Caenorhabditis elegans: one gene and its partner. The protein of the gene in region 1 purifies or fractionates together with the protein of each later gene. This does not show direct contact. Each region holds a gene or a part of one and is shown in the gene's direction. Other genes may lie near its edges.

Region 1 (4,581 bases):
GCTCATTTTTTCAACAACTTCCTCATCTGGCTCAATATAAATGACATTTTTAGTTTTCACGGAAGATTTGTCAAGTTGACTAGATTCAATTATTGGGCGGAATATTGTCTGGAAAAATTTAAAAAAATTAAAAAGTATTTAATTTAATTACGTACCACATTATGTCCTGCATCTGTTAAAGTATCAGCAACCGTGTTCAGTACTTTAATATGACTGTGACCGTACAAATTCGAATAAATTAGTATTTTATATGGAAGGGCAGCATTTAGAAGTTTGAATATAAATACAAATGTAGTTACTAAGTTCATCTGAGACTAAAAAAAACTTTTCAAAAAACTGTGTGTTGCAAAAGAGACTGCTGGTCTCTTTTGCGTAACATTGTGTGTCTATTGCGCAATTCTTTTTTTTCTGTTATTGTTAGAATGTAAACATTGAGCATTTTGAAAACAGGAAAATAGGGTTAAAGAAGTTGGTTGATGTGAAAAAAAAAGTCCAGCAAAAAATAAAAAATTTTCGAGTTACAATCTGAAATTGGGACAAAAGAAAAAAAACTGATTCACATGAGAAAAAAAACGCGCCTGATGTTGTGTTTGACATAACAATCATCGTATATTATCAATGAACAAATTGATTTGTTTTTTGTTATGAAATATACTTTTTTGTAACCCTTTGCCATTGTTTAGTAACTTTTTTAATATTTCAAATGCAATCAAAACCCAATTAAAGATTGTCCAAAGCAGCGTCGAAGACTCATCTGTGAAGTTACAGGCAAATTTTAAAGTTATTTTTATAACTAATAAATTTTCTTCGAATGTAAAATTATTGTTGAAATCATCAAACCGCTGCAACAAGCCTAGTGTGGATAAGGTTTTTTTTAATCGGTTCCCTGAAACTGTAAAAAAACCCTGAGCCTAATTTTTTGACATTATATCAAACTTCAACCAATAGATTGACAGACGAAAAAATAGATTGACAGACGAAAAATAGATTGACAGACGAAAAATAGATTGACAGACGAAAAATAGATTGACAGACGAAAAAATAGATTGACAGACGAAAAATATATTGACAGACGAAAAATAGATTGACAGACGAAAAATAGATTGACAGAGGGGGTGCAAGACTATTAGAGGCTGCAAGACTTATTTTCGAATGCTCCAAAACTTCGAAAAGTGACCAATTTTTGATTGCAAACTCAACGTGATATCGCTTAAACAACAAATATACATCTTTCTCCAATATTTCATCAATCAATTGAACGATTTTGATCAAAAACTCGAGTTCAATTTACCCAAAAATGGGTAAATTTATTAACGTCGCAACCTCTAAACAAGATATTGCTGAACTGGCAAACAGTCGAGTGCAAGACTATTAGAGGGCGGTTTAATATTTGATTCATAGATTTCCAGCAAATTCACAGGGGTGGCTGCGGGTCATTTTGTTTTGCCTCATTTGCAGAACTTAACTTTTTCTTTCAGCTTTACATAGTTGTCTATTATCAGTTAAATCAAAATATTTTCGAAAATTTTGCTGCTTTCAAATTTGTGCCTGAAAACAAGTGCGAATCGTTTCGAAACGTCCAATAAAATGCCAAAACTGGTGATTCAAATTTGCATGATGAAGGCAAACAAACCATATTTTTATTCCCCTTTTTCAAACGTTATCAGTTATCACAAGCGACTCTAGCCGGTCAACATTTTGTCTTCGGTTTATCGATTCAAACGTTTCTTTCTTTGTTTTTGTTTTATTCAGCGTTTTAACTTAATAAAACTTAATATATACTTTTACAGGGTACACAATACGAACCATTAAAGTTTAAACGATTGATTAAAAATAATAAAGCATTCTAAAACAATGTCCGGAAGAAAATTGTTCTTATTTGCCGCGAGAAGAGACATTACACGAGATGGTACATGCCTGATTCTCGCAGATCCAAAATCAGGAACTCGTCATTTCGAAAGTGAGAGTGATCTTAGAATCAGCGGAATTCAACTCGGAGATTTTGTTCATGTAAATGTAGATCCTGCTGGAAGACTTTACAACTTCTGCAAGACCAAACATACTGCAAACATAGAAGTTGAAACTGAAGGGAACGTGGCATATGTGAGTTATTTAAACAAATATTTTGTGAAACCACATTGGCGTACCTTACTTAAATTGATGTAGATCGAACCCTGAATTGAGGAAAAGTCAAGAAAATATGTTTACATTTGAAACTGTGGTTGAAAATTTGTTTTAATTTACGAAACTACGAAACCGACACAAAAAAAAATAGTTTTCAGATTCTGAACGTCTATGCCAAATTATCAGTAAGTGTTGGAAAACTGATATTTCACAATAATCTTTTTGGTGATGCAATCTGCCGGGAATCGTTGCTTCTGGGAGATTTTAGAATTCGAGTCAATTTGTATGAGATACCATACATATTTTATATTTCATTTCTGATATTCCAGACTTGCCTCACCTTTGGAAATTTCCAATGAGCGGAAATTACATTTCGAAGCTTCTCGTGCTGAACTTATAAAGCCCTATTCAATGGAACTTAGTAGAACAGACCAATCTGATCGAATGGACTCAGGATATTCATCAGTTTCAAGAGAATCGCCGCATCAATTAGATCAAACTGTCGGTAGGGGGTTTTCGACAGCTTTCGAAAATGGAGGAAAAATTATTGGAAGAGGATTTCAATCCGTCAAGCAAAACCCGGATATTATCAAACAAAGAGCTGTAGTTTTGAGTAGTGTTGAAAAACCAATTGGAACTCATTACTATTTATGGAATGTGGACTCCAAAACGTTTGTTCAAAATATGATCATTGATAATATGAATTAAAATTTCAGAGAGAGTCTGTTTGTCTCCAACAAACACCACTTAGAACAGGGTCACTTTTTTGATGGGAACTTCAAGAAAAATGCTGATGGAACCAGATGGACGTGCCAAAACTACGGACAACCCGTCGAGCAATTGGCTGAAGGGGGAATCAATCAACGGGGAAAAATATTCTTCACTGTGAAAATTGAGAACTTTCAACCAGCAAGAGGAAATCGAAAGTACGGCAGCGCTTTTAATAAATATTTTGGAGAAATTGTAAGTTTTAAAAAAGGAGAAGTGGGTGTGAGAAATTTATAGAAAACTGTAGTAAATTTTTAAGTATTCTCTACATATTAGTGCAGAATGCCGCACTTATTTTCGGGCTCTTTGCGACTGCCGCGCTTATTCTCGGACTTTCTTTAAAGTTTTCATTAACTACAAGATCTTTCACTATTTTAGTTTTGTTGAATTTTTGAGCATATTCGAGCACATATTCGATCAATTTCTTCCAATTTTTTCGAACTTCTGATGTCGATTTACTTGACATTTTTGTTCTAAACGATCAATAGAAACTTTAATGATAGTTGTTGAAAAAGAAAAACGGTAAAACTGAATTTTTAATATTCAATATTTCTTTTTACCTGAAGAACTAAAATAAATTAATCATTTTAAATGATTCAAAATTTAGTCCATTTTGCTGATTTTAAACTAAAGTTGCTCCCTTCCTGACAAAATGTTTTAGCAATTTCAATTAAAAAAAATGTTAGTTTACTTCATCTTTCAATAGTGTTACTTGAGAAAATAAAATCAATTATTTCAGTTAGAAGGAGATTCTGAAAATACAAAGTTATCAACCGATCATAACGGAAAAATGGTACATATCGAACGTCGTGGAATCGGAGAAAAAGATTATGTTTGGATGGTTACTCAAGTTTTATAAATGGGGCATTGCTGAAAAATTTAAAGAACCATGTTGAAGTCAATTTAACAATCGTATATTCATATTACTATTATGTTACTGATTCTATTACTAATTTGTTAATACATACATTAAAATTGTCACTTACTCTCTAAGTAGCATGTTCTTACTTGGCTCACTAATGAGGGCTCAAATTGTTTCATTAATTTTTTAGTTGGTAACATATTTTGTGTTGCACTGTTTTGTTTGCATCTTTTGTGTGAATGCATTACTTAAAGCCATTGAAGTTTAATAAATCTTTTTTTTAAATAGAAAATTGTGAACGCCCAATTTTTAGAACTCATTTCATGGCCAGAACTTGTGCTCAAAATATCAGTCTAGTAATATAATGTTTCCTGAAAATTAAGATTGTTTCATGATTTAATAAGAGAAGGAACGAGTATTTAGAATCACTTTATTAAAAAAAAAAATAAACGTAACCATATGGTAACACATTGTAGATGAGCATCCTTCGTGATTAATAGATATATCGTGTTTGCTTCTGTAAAAGCCTTTCTAATAAATCAAGATGTTTATTGCAATTTTTTTTATCTTCACCATTTGTTTTGTATATGATTTGAGCCATCACGGTTGTTTTTTTTTCAATAAGGACGTGAATCTCCTCTCTAATCTACCGTACTCTCTAAAACAAACAGTTACATCGTTAAAATCCAACATAAAATCGGAAATTCTACGTGCGTCACAGAACAATTAAAATTAATAGAGCTATTTCAGCATTTGAATTGCAAAAATGATAGGCTGGGCAAGAAAGGTGGAGCGTGAAAAATTTGTTTCTACAAGTGTGAAAACAT
Region 2 (6,986 bases), on another chromosome or scaffold:
GGAGAGTACAACAAAATGCCAATATTATCACTCACATAAAACTCATGTTGACTTTCTCTGGTTTTGACGTCTTTCTATTTACAATTACTAGACAATTAGAAAGAAAGAGACCTCTGGATTTTTAATTTTAAAAATTCAAATTCTCATAATAGACAGCATTTGTTTTTTTGTGAAGTTTTTTCCCAACAAAAGATGTACGCGGAACGTTTTCACAAATTGACATTGTTTTGTTTTCCCTAAAACCATTAACTTCCGACATGTCTCTGTTGGCTTTTCTTCTAGTCACCATCAAGACGACATAACATTTCAATGTATAAAATGGAATTAACAAATTTTATTGAAACTTCAATTTTCTCTTGTAGTTTTGTATCAAAGTGCCTAACTTTGTTTCAAAAAATTTCCACACTAACATTCAATCAAAGGTATTTTTAAACTTCGAGCTAGAAGTTTGTATTTTTGTTTCAAAATACATCATCTTACTTTATTCTTTTCTAGTTGCAAAATCCTAAAGTTCAAATGATGCATAATTGAGTGTATGCTTGTTCAGTTTTGCTGCATATTACCAAAACTAATTATGCTTCTGATTGTTTTAAGGTTACAACACTTTGAATTTGCGTCAATTGTTTTACAATTCTTTATATAGATTTTTAATTGAGTTAAAAATCACCGACTTCCGTTTTAAAATGCCCCTATTCTTACAAAAATTTTAAATTGAATTATCCGCACAATTTATTGTGTGCCATGCCTGTTTATATTACCAAACTGTCATATTTTCTTATGCACTGTAATTTTAACAATGTAAAGTTTTTCACTCGACGTACTATTTTTTTTTGAATTGCAGTAAATTTTGCAATATTTTTGTTTTTGAAAAACTGGCAACCTGAGGAAAACGGAACTGTTTTGTAACTTCAAAGAAGCAATTTTAGAAATTTGCAAAAGTCTGAATTCTAAAATTCTAGTTCAAATCCTTGTGATGTATAAATTATCCTGTCATCTTGGAGATTTTGGATAACATTTTGAATGTATCAAAATGTTAGAATCTGGTTTCTCGTGAAAAATTAAATTTCATTACATCTCAGAATGTTTCACGATTTTGATCTACATCTAATATATATAACAGGTAAACTTGTTCAAAAATTGATTTTATAATAGTTTATATTATGGGCAGCCCGTGAAGCTTGAAATGAGTAATTTAAAAAAATAAATCCGCTGCACGTTTAGCTTAATACTTGAAAAAAAGTTGAACAGTTCTATCTCATCAAATACATCTTTAATCTCTTTTTTTTTGACTTTTGCTTTGTTGCCATAAAGCTATTTCAAAATTGTACCATATGGCAAATGAATGCTTTTAAGGTTTGTTGTTGAACAAGAATATTCGTTAGCCCTCTTTTCGGAAATGTATGCGCTTACATATGATCTTTCAAAACTCCGCCTCTTTTCTGTCTGCGCCATAGCTTCTCTGTGCTCTCTTTTCTACAGTCAAATGTCTTATGCTCATTTTTTTTCAGTTGTGGATCTTGATGTCTCCTCCTTTCCGTTCTCTCGATTTTATTTTTTGCTATTCTTTGGAAAGGCGTCAATTTATTATAGGCAACGCGTGAGCTAAATTTTGAACTTTAGTATAAAAAAAGCGACGAAACAATGCGATACAAAAGCTTGTTCTCATTTACAAAACTGACATTTTACGTAGAGACTCAAGTCTTGGCAAAATTTTAATCACACGAAATTTTATAAAAGTCTGAAAAAAGCTGTGAATAATTTAGATAGCCTCGAACACATGCAGAAGTGTGCAAAACTGATAGAATGCTAATATAATGTTTGAAAATTTTTAACAGTGTGTACCTAGATTTAGTCACTAAAGTATGTGCTATGTTACAATTCTTCTATTTTTTTTTCATATATCCTTTTATTCACTGGTGGGCCATAAAAATATATCTCAGATTGATCATATTTAAATCTCAAACGATGGAAGCCAATTCTAACAGAATAAGCTTTGTGAACCCAACTCAGACCCCACAATACGGTTTAAATGAAGAATTCAAAGGAGATCCACAGTCAACGATTAAAAGTCCAGAAACGCGGGTATGTTTTTTTTCAATCTTTTGAGAGATATAAACTGTGCTTGTTTTAAAGTAAATGGAAAAAATATGAGACATGGTCTTGCGAGCATTTTTTGTTTTTGCCAGTTTAGTGGGGATGAATGTTTACCACTGTCCTTAATTTTGTGACAGATGTTCTTCCTCGTACCGCACCGGCACGAGCACTGGCCGGTGTTTTTTTTTCAAAATCTCCACTCACACTAAAACATGAATAACACCAGTTGCTTTTGTTGATTAATGCTCGATTTTCAAGTTATGCAAAAAAAAAAATTAAGGGACTTAATGAAAATGCGTGCAATGAAAATGAAAGAGTATTTTGCTGTGCTCACATGGAGATACAGAATATCATTGGTTCATCCTCACCCAAAAATTTAAAAATTTTTAATTTATAATATTTTGAGTGGATTTCCAGCTTCCTGCCAAGTATGAACGTTTTGCTCCACAGATGACTACATACTACACATTCCCTCCAGCGAACCCGGCGTTTTTCTCGCAACCGATGTATCCCCAAAGTTCGTGGATTCCGGAAACTCAAAATCCTTTAGTGTATTTTCAAGGTGCTCCCGTGGTGCAGGTAATTTAAACCAGATAATTATAAATTTAAATGTTGTTTCATGTTTGAATTCAGGATTATTCTACATTTTCATCAGCCCCATACCCATCTCAACCACCCAATAATTGGAATGTTCAGGTTCGGACTTTTATTGACACATTTCGAAATTAAAATGTTACAGAATTTTACAAGCTACCAATATGCAAACCAAAATCACCCAGCACAACTGCCACATCAAAAATACTACAATTCCGAGCAATATGCTTTACAAAGTCAGGTAAAAATCAGAATTTCAATTGAGAACAATTACGTGGCATTCCACATTTTTTAAACCTACCATAATCAGACCATGGACGGAAAATTTATTCAGCCATGTAATCAATACCAAATGAACAAGTTGTGTTGTGTATCTCCTCCTTATCAGTACCAACCAAGGACTCCAAATGCTCAAAGCTCGCCGAACCTGAAGGACCTGAATTATTTGGATGTAAGAAAGAAGTTTAATGTTTTACAATTAAATTGAATACGTTCAGTAAAAAAGTAGTGATTTTGGAAGTTATTGTAATAAAAAAAATAGGTCGGAATGAAAAATATAAAAGGTTGACTCAGAAAACTCGAAAGCTGATGCTCACTTAAAAAAAATCGGAATTTTCCTGCAATCGGCAATTTTGGCAATTGTCAGTTTTCAAATATTTTGGCAATTTTGGCGATTGTCGGTTTTCAAATATTTCGGCAATCGGGGATTCCGAAAATTGCCGAAATTGCTGATTGCCGGACATTTTCGGCAATTTTCAAACATAATTATAACTCAAAAAATGAAAAAAAAAATCACCTTGTTAGTATTTGGTTAGTCATTTTCTAATAGATAACGGCCAAAACTTTCAGGATTTAAACATTTTAAGCTTGAAAAGAAAACATCTTCTTTTAAATGCATGTTTAGACTCAAAAATTTACAAAACGTATTAAATTTATGTTCCCGGCAATTCTGGCTTCCGGCAATCGGTAATTCCGACAATTGCCGGTTTTCAACATTTTCGGCAATCGGCAATTGCGGCAATTGCCAAAACTGCCGAAATTGGCGAAAATTCGATTGCCAAACGACAATTGCCGCCACCTCTGTTTCAAATGTAATTTTGCCCTTTCCGTAAAAAAATAATCAATACGTTCATTGTTCATCTCTCCTTGAGATCGTAACAAAACTACCTAAGTGAAATATAATTTTATTTAAATTTTAACTAGTGTCAAAAAAAAAAATTTCATGAAAATCTTAATCATCTTTACAGCATTTGACTCCGTTTTTATTCCCACCGGACATTACTTCTCAATACAGAAAACATAATTGCCGAGGAAACAACCGTAACTCCAAGGTATCAATATTGATTTATTTCATTTTTGAATTGAGTTATTTAGACTAGCAATTTCCGGAGAAACGACAGGAAAAACCAACATGGCCATAACCAAAACCGTTCAAATCAAGTATCCAGACAGCATTTGCCAAACAATAATGCATCATCTTCATCCTCCTCATCAGGTGTCGTTTCCGAATTACCGCTGTCTCCTAACAAGACTGAGCTTAAAATTGTCATATCTCATGGAAATGAAACAGTTTGTGTTCTGAAAACAAAAGGTAACAAGAGTCCGATACAATTTTTTTCTGTTTTTAAATTCATCTCTCGTTCAGATATTGATGGATGCAACGCTCAACAACTTTCGAATGTTGTTGAAATTCCTATGGTACTTGCTCCCTCCCTCTCAATACAATCTACTGACTCGTTCAACTCGGCTTACGAAGATGCCGAAGAATCTTTAATTCAACCACAAACTAAAAAGAATGAAGGTGACGCTTATGGAAAATATAATTCAACGCTCACAAATTGTCAAACAAGGAACCAATCGGAGAAAATGAAATCATCGCAATGCTTGATCGCAGATGTCGCCGAGAATGAGAGCCCGAATGAGACAGGGCCTGCTGAATTCAATATTTTTTGTACTGTACCGGAACAATCTTCTAAACGCTCAGAGCCCGACGTTATAGTTTCTGCTGCAAAATCAGTTACTGAAGTTGAAAATACAATACTTGCTGAACATGATACCGCTACTGCTGAAAACTTTTCGAACAACGATGAACCAATTCTTCTTAGCGTTACTAATCTTCACGATGAAACAAATAACAAATCAATAGATGTATCACTGAATCACCCATTGCCACCTTCGACAGAAACTGGAGTTGTCAGCGGCAAAGTTTCACAATTGGAGGCACCAATCAGTACAATTGTGCAGGAAACGATCCGAATCCTCGCCGAGAGAAATCTACTCCGTGACATCAATGACTTTCATCAAGAAATACATTTGAATGTCATGCAAGAAAATATTGGACAGTCTCTAGATCATGCTGCAATAGAAAATGAGGAACATCCAGAAACTGAAAGTTCCTTTGAAAGTTCAAGCGGGTAAGTTTTTTTAAAATGAAATTTCTTACGAATATTATGATACTCCAGTAGTTCCAACCCTTCTGTCCCCATTGAGATTGATCAAAAAATGCAATTCAACAAAAACAATCCATGGGAAAAATTGGAACAATATACTCCGTGAGTTTACAATAAATATTAATTGAAAACAAATTATTATTTTTGACATTCATGAAATTCAATTTAAGTTCTGAGTTCAACCGCCATTGTCATTAAAATTTCAGACCTTCAATCATTATAGTCTCGTGCGCAGATTCTTCACAAAGCCCACACAAAGCTTCGTAAGTTGACAACGGAAGTATTTTTTATAATGCACATCATGTTTTAGAACTCTCAAAAACCCCGGTTACGGCTGCTGTTCGGGCATTGGCAAGAAATCAAAATACAATAAGAAAGTTGACAAGAAAGAGTGAGTTGAACTAATGTGAAGAATGGTAAACTTGCATACAAACCAGACTTTTAGTCCTGAAAACGATGTTACAAGAATAACATAGGCATAGCTGTTTCGGAGTAAACCCCGGCCCTGATACTGAATAGGAACTAAAAAAAATATTTTACTTATTCACTCATTTGTTACTGAATCATTAACACTTATTAAAAAACCACCTGATCATGAGAATGCATACCGTTCTGGCGCGCGAATATCTCGTAGCGAAGGCACCTAAATCTTACATTTTTGAATGATATCTCGTTGCCGCTTTTTTTTTTCAGAAAATAGGCATTCTCATGAATTCGTGGTTTTTTAATAATTAATCATTCAAATGTGGCGAAAACATCTTGATAGTTTTTTCCTTTTTTTCCTGGGCAGTTATGTTGTCTGTGTACTCTACAGGTTCACTTCTCTCTACAGGCTCACAGGCCATTCTCGAGGGAAAACCTGTCAAGATGTTGTAACGTAGAAATTGAATGTATCAACTATGTTGGTGTAATAACTACTAACTAGCATAGTTGGTACATCATCAATCTTTATGACGTTGGTCGGAAGGATTCATGGCACTACTGATTTGACGTGAAAGTGGATAACGGGACTGAAAATAAATTTTACAGAGTTCTCCACTTGACAAACTTTCAACTAAACTAAGCAACGGAGCTGTGCGTTTCATTCTATCTGTTTTTGTGTTTTTTAGCTCATTCTCATTTTCCTGTATTCTTCAATTACTTTGTTTGTATAATTTTCGTTTAGCAAAATTTGGAATCCCAGTTCGAAATCCGGCCACACAAATCTTCTCTTCAACATTATGTGTATTCAACAGCAACCTTTCCATGTTTTCTCTTGAATATCAACTTTTTACGGTCAAAGTTGATCAAAATAAAATGTATCTTCTTGTGGATTTTTTATGAGCCCGAGTAGACTGTTTGAAAAAAACCTGTTTATTCACATTTGAATTCCACAGAGATCAAAAATCAATTATTATTTGTGGATACTCCTTTTTCCGCATCATTCAATTCTTCAGCTCGTAATAATTCCGTTTTCTGCCTCCATCTTCTTGGCTTACATGCAATTCCAAGAGTTCGGACAGCGAAGAATAAAAACTCAATCACGCTCATAATGCTTGCGCCTGAAAAATTCACTTTTTGAATTGCGAGTTACTCAAATTGTTTAAAATCACCTAAAAACAAGCCAGCTTGGCCACCCATATCGGCCATCAAGTTGAACCAAGAATACGACTCAGATTCTCTCAATATCTCATAGCTCATTTGTTCATAATAAATTTCAATCATTGCGGCGTGTTCTCTGAAAATCGATTTTTTGTCATTAACTGTCAACTAATTTATTTGAGAATAAATGTATTTTAGAAACAAAACCATTTTTCAAGTTACATGTTATATCCAAAAATTCTTTAAAAAAATGTTTTCTGATATTTG

Evidence for each region. The genes of interacting proteins can lie anywhere in the genome.
Region 2: the proteins of C49A9.6 (region 1) and E02H4.2 fractionate together in Caenorhabditis elegans (co-fractionation; one large-scale study listed by BioGRID). This does not show direct contact.

What each region holds. Positions count from the first base shown.
Region 1 is NC_003282.8:6,209,146-6,213,726, forward strand, and holds C49A9.6 (MATH (Meprin-associated Traf homology) domain containing), read left to right. Parts: upstream 1-1,790; 5' UTR 1,791-1,854; coding exon 1,855-2,103; intron 2,104-2,282; coding exon 2,283-2,407; intron 2,408-2,453; coding exon 2,454-2,795; intron 2,796-2,840; coding exon 2,841-3,087; intron 3,088-3,631; coding exon 3,632-3,751; 3' UTR 3,752-4,036; downstream 4,037-4,581. Other genes in the region: ugt-24 (UDP-glucuronosyltransferase), read right to left, coding at 1-108, 156-308.
Region 2 is NC_003284.9:14,276,579-14,283,564, reverse strand, and holds E02H4.2 (MIF4G domain-containing protein), read left to right. Parts: upstream 1-1,938; 5' UTR 1,939-1,965; coding exon 1,966-2,082; intron 2,083-2,511; coding exon 2,512-2,673; intron 2,674-2,727; coding exon 2,728-2,790; intron 2,791-2,833; coding exon 2,834-2,929; intron 2,930-3,022; coding exon 3,023-3,139; intron 3,140-3,935; coding exon 3,936-4,019; intron 4,020-4,062; coding exon 4,063-4,279; intron 4,280-4,333; coding exon 4,334-5,102; intron 5,103-5,150; coding exon 5,151-5,240; intron 5,241-5,344; coding exon 5,345-5,401; intron 5,402-5,448; coding exon 5,449-5,529; intron 5,530-6,167; coding exon 6,168-6,201; 3' UTR 6,202-6,443; downstream 6,444-6,986. Other genes in the region: Degenerin del-1, read right to left, coding at 6,525-6,679, 6,731-6,855.